3 linked regions of the Kluyveromyces lactis genome follow. The protein of the gene in region 1 purifies or fractionates together with the protein of each later gene. This does not show direct contact. Links are inferred from orthologs where the notes say so. Each region holds a gene or a part of one and is shown on either strand. Other genes may lie near its edges.

Region 1 (5,804 bases):
TTTAAATCTATAGCTTTAACGATGCGAAATAAAATAAGCAATAGGATCCTTGATCGTATTTCATAGAGATGCAGAATAATTCGTTTTCTGTGTTCTCAATTACCTAAGTTGTCTTGTTCAGCTTCAATGGCGTTATCCAATGACGCGAAAAGACCATCCAAATCGAATTCCTTGGACCATTCTTGAACAATGGTCGTTTGTTCCACCTTAGCTGGTGCTGCGACAGCACCAGTACCTAGAGTTGGTTGGTTAGCTTCACCAGATGTAGCAGCATGTTCTGCAGCAGATTCCTTAGAAGCATTGGGTAGAACCCATCCTAGGATCTTACCATCTCTCCAATCGTTAAGAACGGATATACCAGCGCTGGCCAAGTTTGGAACACCGCCCTTACCTAATCTACCTCTCTTACGGGCGATATGGATCAAGAATTGTTTGGTGAAAGAGTCTGCATCGGCAGCTGGGATAGGTGGTAATTCGTACAACTTCTTGAAACTTTCAGTCATTTCTTCAGATTTAGAAAGTCTCTTCACTAATTTGAGCACAGCTGGGTAAGGATCTATGATGAATTTTGGAGGTAGAGCGTTCAACAAGGCCAACTCTGCTTCTTGTTCCACTCTACTCATCTTTTTATTTTCACTTGGGAAACAAATACCTGGAGAATCCAAGATCTTTAGCTTGTTATCTACCTTGACTTCTCTCATAGATGTAGTGACACCAGCTTGGTTACCCACTGGACATGCTTTAGAAGAACCACCACGGCGAGAGGTCAATGCGTTAATGACAGACGACTTACCGACGTTTGGATAACCGATGACACCAACAACGATGGATCTCTTCAAGTTTGAATTATTGGAGTAAGTCTTCAAAGCTTCTAACAAGCTTGAAGCAGTTGTAGCCTGAGTCAAAGTCCTGTTGAAAGATGTGGAGTTAGTGGCACCAGGAGCAGCTCTCAATGGAATAGTAGGGAACGAGGATTTCAAAAAGGTTAACCATTGTTGCAACACGTATGGTGGCACTAAATCGATCTTGTTCAAGATCAAAATTAGTCTCTTACCCTGGGATTGAAGCACGGCCTGTTCCACTCTTCTCGATCTAGTTCCTTCTGGATCTCTTGCATCTAGCACGTAAAGGATAACATCGGACGCATCCACCACAGTCTTGAATATCTTATCGTAAGCCTTTCTAGACTTTTCTAATTCAGAATCATCATCATCTGCGTCAGCGTAAAAGTCTACGTCGTATTCAGCAACCTCTAAATCCTCTTGCTCTCCATTCATTGTATCATCGATACCTTCCCCATTGTACTCCTTTGCAGCTTGCTGAGCGGATTCTAACAAAGCAGAAAGACCATTGTTGCCGTCGTTTTCATCTTCATCCATAGATTCATCGTCATCACCAACATCTTCACCTAGTTCACGAGTTCTTCTCTTAGCCTCTAACCTTTCCTGCTTTCTACGTTCTTTCTCCTCCAAATCAGTTCTTCTCTTCGCTTCAATCTCTTCGATGATCCTGTTCTTGTACGGGAAATTGGCCGGAATACCTGGATCCTTACTCTTATTGGATTTCCATGTCACATCCTTCTTAGCAAGTTTCCGCTCTTTCCTATGTTGAGCAGCAGCCTTCTTCTTGATACCCTCCTTCATACGAGTGGAAGTTCTCTTGGAAGTTCTCTTTCTTACTCTCACCATCTCTTTTGATTAATGGAAAAAGGTATATTTACTGCACTGGATTATAGATATCTTAGCTGTTCCGGTGAACTTATCACGGAAAACAGTACTGAAACATCTACTTGAACAGGTGTTCTGTAAATATCAAGTCTCATCTCATCTCATCTCATCTCATCGCAGGTTTTAACATATTTCGAAGAGCTGAAAAATTTCAAAGTAGAAAAGAATTTCTTTTTGCTGGCGGACGACAGTGGAAACACAGTGGATACTCGTCAATTACGAGGCAATCTTATGCTACTCGCAAGCCATAATTTGTGTCAATAATATTTGGGACGTATTTGGTATATCTATGAGCACTTCCAGGCAGATATTTAACATTATATATACAGTAATACCGTCAAGGGCAGTGAAACTGTCAGTACATATAAAGGCAGCCCAGTAGCCGTTGCGCAGTTTTTTTTGACACTAGCAGGGAACAAAAATCATCTCAGTAATAAGAACTGATATAACGTGATATACGATACGAAGTTGCGAGGGTGGAACTTGTTTTACCACATCTCTCATCCTCTCTACTTCCAGTCAGTGTAGTAATAACTGCGAAGTTATTACTTGTTACCCGGATCTCGTGAAAATTTTCATCAACCGTAAACAAGAGACATGCCACGGTTGTTTCTGTGGCGTTTATCACGTGATATATATTTCCGTCGAGTTTCCAGCATTTTTGCTTAGAAATTGAGAAACTAAAATGATAAGGAGCTATCCAGTTGCAACTTACACAGTCTTGTCCGTCTACTAGTTGGTTAATCGGTATTTCTTCTGTTCTTTTATAACAAAAGCAGCGCCTAAGTTTAGTTATCTTAGCGGCTCATCATTCGACTTCTTACCGTTCAGTTTCCAGCTATTTTTTTAGGCTGTTCTGAGTCATATACCGAGGCAAGAGAAAAGAGAAACTATGTCATTGCCAGCAGCAGCTTCAGCAAATGTAGCTGTCTCATCTAGAAGGAGGGGGCCAAATTTGAACATTGTTATATCGTGTCCCGAATGTAAAGTTTATCCTCCGAAAGTTGTGGAACGGTTTAGTGAAGGTGATATCGTCTGTGCATTATGTGGGTTAGTCTTATCGGATAGAATTGTGGATACCAGGTCAGAATGGCGTACTTTTAGCAATGACGATCAGAATGGAGACGATCCAAGTCGTGTTGGTGAAGCTTCAAATCCTTTGTTGGATGGAAACCATTTAACCACACGTATCGGGCAGGCCCAGGGAAGTGATGCTAGAGTTACTAGGGATTTGAATAGGGCTCAGTCGAAATCTATCGTTGACAAGAAGGATAACGAGTTGCAAGCTGCATATGCGAAGATTACTATGATGTGTGATGCTGCAGAACTGCCCAAGATTGTTAAAGATTGTGCTAAAGAAGCTTATAAATTATGCTTCGAAGAGAGAGTCTTGAAGGGGAAATCACAGGAAAGTATCATGGCTTCAGTTATTCTTGTCGGATGTCGGAGAGCAGAGGTCGGGAGATCTTTCAAGGAAATCTTATCCTTGACTAACGTGCGGAAGAAGGAAATCGGGAAGACGTTTACCATCATCAAGAACATTCTAAGAGAAAAGAATGATAGAGGGTTTGCCAATATTGATACTTCAAATATCACCACAGGACAGACAAGTGCAGAGACTTTCATCCCTAGATTTTGTTCTCATTTGGGCCTTTCAGTGCAGGTGGCTAATGCTGCAGAGTACATCGCGAAACACTCTAAGGATGTCAATGTCTTGGCTGGTAGATCTCCTATCACCATCGCAGCAGCAGCTATCTATATGGCAACTCTACTATTCAAATTGAATATCAGTCCTACAAGAATCTCTCAGACTTTACAAGTCACAGAAGGTACCGTGAAAGGTGGATACAAAGCATTATACGAACACAAAGAAAAAGTGGTCGACCCACAACTGATAGAATCTGGTGTCGTGAAATGGGACAACCTTCCTAGAGTCAGTAATGACAAAAGTGAGAAGGCTAATTGATTATTAACAATACCCATTACAAAAACCCAAAAAAAAAAGAATATTAATACTAACATTAAAAAAAAATCAAGAAAAGAAAACCATTAGTTGGGAAGAATACCCAGTTTCCAAATTTGAATTGAATATCCTATAAAATTCTCGGATCAACTATAATATACATAAATTCTTTCCCTATCTTTTTCATTGCATCTAACACATTATTTGAACTTTATAACTTTCTTTCTCAGAAACTTAATTGGTGTATGATTTATTATACCTCGAGTTATGCAATTGAATAGATTTCTGTTTCGAAACTGTGTTTCAAGTCTATAGGATAAAGTATATGGACCTACGTACACGTCGAAAGAACCAAAAACTTAAAAAAAATAAAATACTTTAATGGATTTACTCTCGTCTTCCAATGTTTAAAGCATAGTTATGGTTGGCGTTCTTTCAGTAATGCAGATCTTTTGTATATTGATTAAAGGATGTTAATTACTTTGTATTCTTATGAAAGTACATATCTTAGTCTTTATTCGTGTTCTTGAACTTCGAGAAATCGGCCATTGAAAATACTGGTCTCATCCCTTGGTTCGGTAATGAAGTGTTTTTCCTATCCCTATCTGACAGTGGATAAGAATCTTTACTATCAAGGGAATCGCCTAAATTCATCATACTTCTACTTCTGAAATTTGAGCTGTTTTCCATTTCTTGACGACCAAATCTACCCCGATTAACGGTACCTTCTTCCAATTTTCCTAGCATGTCTTCTTCTTGAGCCAGTTTGCTATATGTTTTAAGTTTGCAGAAACTTGTTTTCACTGCATTGATACCATCAAATATCTTGTGTTTGGGGAATTGTCTAGCGAATCTGAATTTGCTAATGATAAGATATATCGAACCGAGCACTAATGAAATTATGAAAATGTGAATTATTGTTTGTTTCAATGATACTCCGAAGGATGCGTTATTGACTGGCTGTTGGAGGGACAGGATGGCTCCCGGAATGAATTGCTTGCCGTCTTTCTTTTCATCCATGGGACTTGGCATTATACCAACAGTGGCGCTTGCGTCTCCGGCAACGACAAGTCCCGAAGCGTACATTAAAATTCTACCTAACGTCCAGGTTACGTCTTGGTTGTTAATTTTTTCAACACTCTGGAATGGAACATGTCTATCATCGTCGCTTTTTGAGTCGTCTGGAATGTCTATATCCATCCTAGGAAGGTCAAAGCCCTCATGTAAGACGTTCAATATCCAGTTCGCCTTGAAACAACTATCCAGTAAGAAGTCATCTGGTATATTGTTGTACACTCCATTAGCGTTGTTCTCTTTCAACGTATTCCAATCAGATTCACAGAATTCTTTGACGTTCTTCGAGAATTCATGGAAATTATACTCCCCACTCATCTTGAACACATCATTTGCTGTATACCAGTACTCTGAAATACCCACAAACTTATCTTGTTCAAAATTAATCCTTGGTGCATGTACACCATTGAAGAGACAAGGTTCTTCTAAGCAAGGTAGATTGTTCAAAAGTAACGGATACATCGACTTCATACAATGTACAAAGTCACCAGCACCTGTGATTTCGAAATCTCTATCCTTGAACTCAAACTCGGTTTTTGCTCCCTTCGGTAAACATGGATCGCTAATATATCTTGTCTTGTAGTCGTCATCATCTTCCTCATTTGCGTTTTCAGGTAACGAATTAATTAGTTGAGCCAAATACCTAGACCTTGCCCTATTGGCTCCAAACCCCAACCATGTACTCACGAATACATCCCATTCTTGGGTGTCACCATTGACATTCTTCAAATATATGGTGTGCATATACTTTTTATGCCTTGCAATTTCTTCCGGGTCACTCGGCATGAACGCTAGTTGCGTTGAAGCACCTCCCATATCCATAAAACCTGACGAAGGGTGTTGTGCATATTTAGGATCAAAGTTGTCAAAGTTCCCCAACAGATAATTGAGACTTAACCACCCATATAAACCCTCTGTTTCCCCATCAATGATCTGAATTTGTGATGAGCAATCCTTCAATAGGAAGTTCGTATCACTTCTAATCGATTTACACAGTTCTTGCAAAATCAACTCTTGTTTTCTCTGAGGAAGTAATCTCA
Region 2 (2,349 bases), about 470 kb from region 1:
TCTGATGTTTCCGGTGGTTTTACAGTCAGTATTTTGGAAAATGCTAGGCAAGCTTTACTAGTTTCCAGACATCGAGCAATGTCAGTAGAAGATCCTGAAAGAAAAGAGGAATGCAAACTATCTGTCGCCGAAGTATTGTATCTAGCTACCATGGGTGGTGCTAAAGTTTTAAATCTGTCTGATAAAATTGGTAGTTTCGACGTAGGGAAAGAGTTTGACGCACAATTGATAGATTTATCCACCAAAGGAAGCAACGTATCCATTTTTCCATGGCAAAAAGTTACCAACGACAAAATTCAACCGAACGGGAAGGATAGAATCAAACTGGAGAATATTGTGGCAAAATGGTTATTTAATGGTGATGATAGGAATGTTAAAAGTGTTTGGGTCCGTGGAAAATTGTGCCATCAAAATCTTTAACTAATCGTTAGCTTACAATTCCATCGAAATAAGTATGCAAAACAAGAATAGCATGATATATAACTCAAGATGAAATAGAACTAATAATATGCAGCAGAATAAGTTAGTGGTAGTTTTGGATATTTCTCTTGCCATTCAGTGAAGACATCCATTATAAAATCCTCAAATTGAGTTCCGTTTTTCTCACATTCAAAAACTTTATCTCTTAGCATATCTGCCAATCTTAATATTGCTCGCCCACCAATTTTAGCGTTTTCATTATCATCTTTGATATCGATATTGATAATATGTGCAATTAGATTAAGCTGACCACCTCTATTCATCAGGTCCTCGCACACAGAGTCGAAACACCTTTCTTCACAGGTAAAAACGAAATCAAAAACCTTTCTCCCATCGTGCCATTTCTCAGGAGCTTTTTTTAACTTCCTGTTACGATCTAACATTTCTAATACACCATTTTGCTTGTATCTATCTTCACTTTGAGAAATCAAGTCATTATATATATCATCATAAGGCGTACCAAATGAATACACATTTGGTTTATCTATCGAGAGACCTGGAAGTCTAACTGCACTTCCAGTACCGTAACTAGAAACATCATACCCTGCCTCTTCCAATACCCTATGGGACTCCATGGACCTGTTGTTGTTAGATGCACACACAGTACAGAACTTAAGCCCGCTATTTCTCATTGATTCGCTCATGCCTAATAGTTCCTCTTAGATTCGTAATAACTTTTAGTCAAATTATCTATTCTGGTAGCACTAAGCAGACAACACTGTATGAAAATGAGAGTTATAATAATTGAATATGAAATGCAAGTATGGGCTGTCTACCATTTCGGTTACCAATTATGAATATCTTGTAACTTTCATTGAAGCTCTTAACAAAGTCAATTTTATCAATGTGCAGCTAGATAATAATATTACCCGGAAATGCGACGCTTGTAATAATCTTAATAGAATTATAGATTGGTAATTAGTATAAGTTCAAGGTCACTTCCGTTACACCCGATTACCAAAGCCTGTCCTTATTTGTGGCTGAATTAGGTGCTTGACAGCCGAAGGATCCATATTATATAATGATACTAATATTTAATATAATATCTTAAACAAAGAATGAGGAAGATACAGCAGTCAGCAGGAGGATGAATCCTCGACAAGAACTTGTTCAACTTCAGGATCAGCTGGATCTTCGCAGACGATTATTCGCTGGCTTTTGCATTTAACATCTTCAAATTCTTCATCTTTTGGTTGCGGGGAGGACATTTGTTTGCCAGAAACTAATGTTCCAACATCAACGTATTCTCCAGTGTCCTGTATGTCTGACTCCAATGAGTGAATAGAATCAGAACCGACAGACATATTGGCACTTTGATATAAATCATTTTCTGGCCTGGTTGTCAAAAATTGAATAATTTGACTATCTCTGAAATAAGTATGAAACTGATCCCATTCATTCTTACCTGAAATTAACATACCGAGTAACATTGACGGATCTGTTTCTGATATATGCAATTTGTTGAATTTGTGTCCGTGACAACTTCGGTAAAATTCAAGATCATCCATCATTAAAGAAGATTGCTGAGTGTTGTGTGGATCAAGGTAGAAAAGATTTTCATTTTGATATCCAAAAAAGTATAATGATGACGAGGGTTTACCGCCTGCGATCCCGACAGAATATGGTGATGAGAGAATCTTGAATATGTCTTTCCAGTATAAGCTGTTGATTTTGTCAACACCCAACCTGACAGCAAACAGCAGAAGTAAATTAGCATCCCTATCCTTATGAAAAATTCTTGTGACCTCATCTTCGTATATATCTGCCGACTGAGTTGAAATTATACAATTCTTAATTCCACAAAGGGGAAACCCTTCAATCAATGTTTTTATGCTTCTGGCTGTTGCGCTTGGCCCAAACCACTGCCCA
Region 3 (4,066 bases), on another chromosome or scaffold:
CCATCTCATTTATGACTATCAAAACCAACAACGTGAATAATGAAAGCCAATAGTTTTATATAGTAATGTCTCAAACGCACACATACGTCCTATGTGGAGAACAAAAGCGGTGATGGTTTTTCCTGCTTGCCCTCCTTTGGATGAAGGACTGTCTTTATCTTATTCGAGAGTGGGCGTCCAGGCCACATTCTGGATTCCATGAATCGTAGTAAAATTACAGTATATAGGTGTAATCGTTATATAATGAATCATTCCATCTTTACGTCGCCTTCTTGGTCTTTTACCTCTGCCGGTGTATCTTCAGCCGGAGTTTCTTCCGCTGGAGTTTCAACCACAGGAGTTTCAACAGCAGCTTCACTCTCGGCTTCTTTCTTAGCATCCGATCCTGAGAACCCAGGAATGTCAGAACCACCAACAGCTCCTCTTATATCGTTAATTGAGAGTGAATCTGGGCCACTTTTCTCCTGGACACGAGCATTTTTCTTAGCTATCTTCGTCCTATCAAATTCATCTAAGTTAAGAACATCTGTATCATCCTCAACTACATCTCTCAAAGGATGATCTTTTTTTACCCATTGCTTGAACTTATATTTTACCTTCTCATCAGTACCATTTTCATTTTGTTTAGCAGTAGTGGACCATTCGTATTCCCAATGCTTTGCATCGGTCGTGAAACCTCCAAGACGATTTGCCCTACTTATCAAAGACATTCTCACTTTCTGTTAAGTATATGGCTCAGTGTGTAAATTTGCTGAAATAATTGGCCGAGTTAGTCGATCTAACACCTAAAAGATTGTCGCATTGTACCTTTAGATCTCTGCTCGCACTGTTAAGCTTTAAGCTCTTGATGTTTGGCTTTAATTTCATGTTGGCAGAATTATCAACAAAAATTGACCTTAAATGGGATAAAATGGTCGATTAATAGGTCAGCGAACCACTTATTGAAACGAAAAGCCAGTAAATGAGATGAGTGCATGCTACACATTGCATATAACCTTGTTAATTCGAGTGAAGTGGCCAATCTGGGCCATGATAGTGGTTTATGTTACATGGATTGCACTGAAATTACGTTACCCGGTCTCTGGATTGATCCCTCAATATCAAAATCTAAACAAAGTTGAAGAGCTGATATGTACATTTCAGTAAAGAGTGCTCGAAGTCATAAAAAGGGTGGTTAAATAGGTTCATTCAACTCTGTGAGCCAATATTTCTGTCAATAACAGAATTCTAATCTGATTCCAGTCATAATACACCCATTTTTGCGAAATGCCTAGGGTTGCTGGAAGCTCAGGAAGCAAGAAACAAGGCAAGGCAAAGAAGGATTTCAGCAATGAAGATGATGCGTATAACGCTCTATTTGGTGGTGAGTTTGGGGCATTAGATATTAGTAATTATACTAGTGGTGGCGGCAATGGTAAGCAAGATGAAACAGAGCATCTGCCGAATGCTATTGATTTTGAAGATGAAGATGAATTGGCAGATGAAGAATTACCGGAGGAAGAAGAGCCATCCCATTCTCCGAACAGGCATAATGAAGGGTCGTTTCAGCGGAGTCTGACTGAAGACGACGAATATATGACTCTGATGGACCATGGTGATGTGATGCATGAAGTTGACGCTGCTGGATTTGAAGTACAAGGTAATAATGCATTGTTCATGGAGAGCACATATCAGTCATTTGGTCCAGAACAACACCAATTTAACGAATATGATGAGCAACACAGGAGGTTAATGGAGGAACAGCGAAGGAAACAAGAGGAACAAAATGCGAAGGAAGAACAGTTATTATTTCAGTCTTATTTCCCTGAGCTAAAGCCGGGTAGAGTCCTAAGAATGACCAAGATAGCTCCAAAACCGTTGGCGAAGTATCAATGGCAAAGGGAGTTATACCTTCGAAACAGAATTTTAAAACCTCTCATACCCATTAAAGTGAAGTTTCAAGTTCAAAAGGATACAAAAAAATTGTTCAAGATGAGGAGTAAAAGCGTAAAGCCTTGGCAAAGTGCTATAAGCGAGTTCTCTGAAGTTCAACGAAGAAATGTTATCAAAGTAGCATACGATGAGATATATAAAGAAGATACTGTAGATGACAAGAAAGATGAGCACGATGAAGTGATACCGGAAGATCTTCTCATTGTAGCTGATGAATGGGATTATGAGAAAATTGTTGACGATAGAGAAAATGAGGAGCCAATGACGAGTAACAAGAGGAATCCGCCAGCAGTTGAGAACACTTTAGAAGAAGATGGGAAAGACTGGGAATGGAACGAAGATGATATCATAAATGGTAAGGTGAGTGCTAAAGAACCGCCAATTGATATGAATGATGAGCGATTACTTATTTTGCCTAATGAGAATAAAATCGAATCGGCACAAAAGGTCGTTAAACCTCTAATACCATATAATGAGAAATCTCTACTAGCAAAGTTCAACATCTCTAACGATGACACTTACAAGATTTTGAAAAAGAACTATCAAAAAAAGATCAGATCTACAATTTCGAATTTGAATATAGAACATTCTCAACCGGCGACGCGCCTACAATCTCCATTCTACAAAGTTGTGTTACCAAAAGATCAGTTGAGACACTTTCATAGAAATCATTTCGGGAAACGGATTCGTCCTGGTACCAACATAGTGTTCAGTAAGATAAAGACCCGTAAGAGAAAGAAGGATAAAGGTAAGGATGTGCACGAAATTTTCCAACATTCTGCGGACTTGACTGTTGGTGACAGTGCTCAAGTGTTCCTGATGGAATACAGTGAACAGCAACCTGTTGCGTTATCTAAATTTGGTATGGCTAACAAGCTTATCAATTATTATAGAAAGACGGGAGAAACAGACAGCTCCAGACCAAAATTACCCGTTGGTGAGACTCATGTATTAGGTGTGCAGGATAAATCACCATTTTGGAATTTTGGTTTCGTCAGTCCAGGAAACATTGTTCCCACTTTATATAACAATATGGTCAGAGCCCCCGTTTTCAAACATGAGGTCTCTAAGACCGATTTCCTTCTGGTGAAAAGTCTTGGTAATGGGTCCGGTAACAGATTCTATTTGCGTCAAATTAATCATCTCTTTGCTGTCGGTCAAACGTTCCCAGTGGTCGAAGTTCCTGGTCCGAATTCTAGAAAGGTTACTGCTATGGGTAAGAACCGTTTGAGGATGGTTGTGTATCGTATTTTGAACAAATCTCCGGAAAACAGACTGTTAGTGAAACAGGTGGCTCGTCATTTCCCAGAACAAAATGATATGCAAAACAGACAAAGATTAAAGGAATTCATGAAGTATCAACGTGAAGGTGATGATCAAGGTTTCTGGAAACTAAAGGAGGGAGAAGTTTTACTGGATAACGAAAACGTGAAGAAAATGGTTACTCCTGAAGATGTTTCACTCGTTGAATCCATGTATTATGGTCAACAGTTCCAGGAAGATATTGATTTCTACAACTTCGATGAAAGAGCTAAGGAGTTGGAGGAGAACTTAATATTTTGGAATGCTACCAAGAATTTCTTGAATGCTACACAGATGAGAGCAATGATTCAAATACATGGACCTGGTGATCCTACTGGTTGTGGTGAAGGTTTTTCGTTTTTGAAAACCTCTATGAAGGGTGGGTTTGTAAAATCCGGTTCAAAGGATCAACCGCAAATTGCTGGTGGTCATAGTTACAATGTCGCGCAACAACAGAAAGCATATGAAGAAGAAATAAGTAGGACGTGGTATAACCAAGCCAAGTCTTTAAGCATTCAAAATCCCTTTGAAGAAATGGATGATCCAGATATCGTTAATGAAAGTAATAAGCATGTTCCCTCGACAAGACCTGACGAGAAAGTGTTACGGATTACTAGAAAGAAGAGAGATTCCAACGGTATCATTCAACGACAAACTGTTATAGTCAGAGACCCTAGGGTCATTCAAGGTTACTTACGTGCGTATGAAAAGAGGCGTGAAGAGGCGGAGCGTAATTTGGGTCTTGATGAATTGATCAACGATAACATAACCATTGTTGGCGGTGAGAACGAAGAGGAAAGGCAATTGAAGCAAAAGAAACTATTGGAAGAAC

Evidence for each region. The genes of interacting proteins can lie anywhere in the genome.
Region 2: the proteins of SUA7 (region 1) and SSU72 purify together in Saccharomyces cerevisiae (affinity purification with western blotting; 4 studies listed by BioGRID, with this or other methods). This does not show direct contact. The link is inferred for Kluyveromyces lactis from reciprocal best matches to the Saccharomyces cerevisiae genes SUA7 and SSU72.
Region 3: the proteins of SUA7 (region 1) and TAF1 purify together in Saccharomyces cerevisiae (affinity purification with mass spectrometry; 3 studies listed by BioGRID). This does not show direct contact. The link is inferred for Kluyveromyces lactis from reciprocal best matches to the Saccharomyces cerevisiae genes SUA7 and TAF1.

Annotation. Positions count from the first base shown.
Region 1 is NC_006040.1:1,173,982-1,179,785, forward strand, and holds SUA7 (transcription factor TFIIB), read left to right. Parts: upstream 1-2,619; coding exon 2,620-3,693; downstream 3,694-5,804. Other genes in the region: RNA-binding GTPase NUG1, read right to left, coding at 96-1,688; YND1 (apyrase), read right to left, coding at 4,198-5,804. UniProt on the Saccharomyces cerevisiae protein: General factor that plays a major role in the activation of eukaryotic genes transcribed by RNA polymerase II.
Region 2 is NC_006040.1:1,644,774-1,647,122, forward strand, and holds SSU72 (RNA polymerase II subunit A C-terminal domain phosphatase), read right to left. Parts: upstream 1,125-2,349; coding exon 501-1,124; downstream 1-500. Other genes in the region: GUD1 (guanine deaminase), read left to right, coding at 1-420; cysteine protease ATG4, read right to left, coding at 1,557-2,349. UniProt on the Saccharomyces cerevisiae protein: Component of the cleavage and polyadenylation factor (CPF) complex, which plays a key role in polyadenylation-dependent pre-mRNA 3'-end formation and cooperates with cleavage factors including the CFIA complex and NAB4/CFIB.
Region 3 is NC_006037.1:879,454-883,519, reverse strand, and holds the start of TAF1 (histone acetyltransferase), read left to right. Parts: upstream 1-1,266; coding exon 1,267-4,066. Other genes in the region: RNH70 (Rnh70p), read left to right, coding at 1-53; RTT102 (Rtt102p), read right to left, coding at 249-710. UniProt on the Saccharomyces cerevisiae protein: Functions as a component of the DNA-binding general transcription factor complex TFIID. Binding of TFIID to a promoter (with or without TATA element) is the initial step in pre-initiation complex (PIC) formation.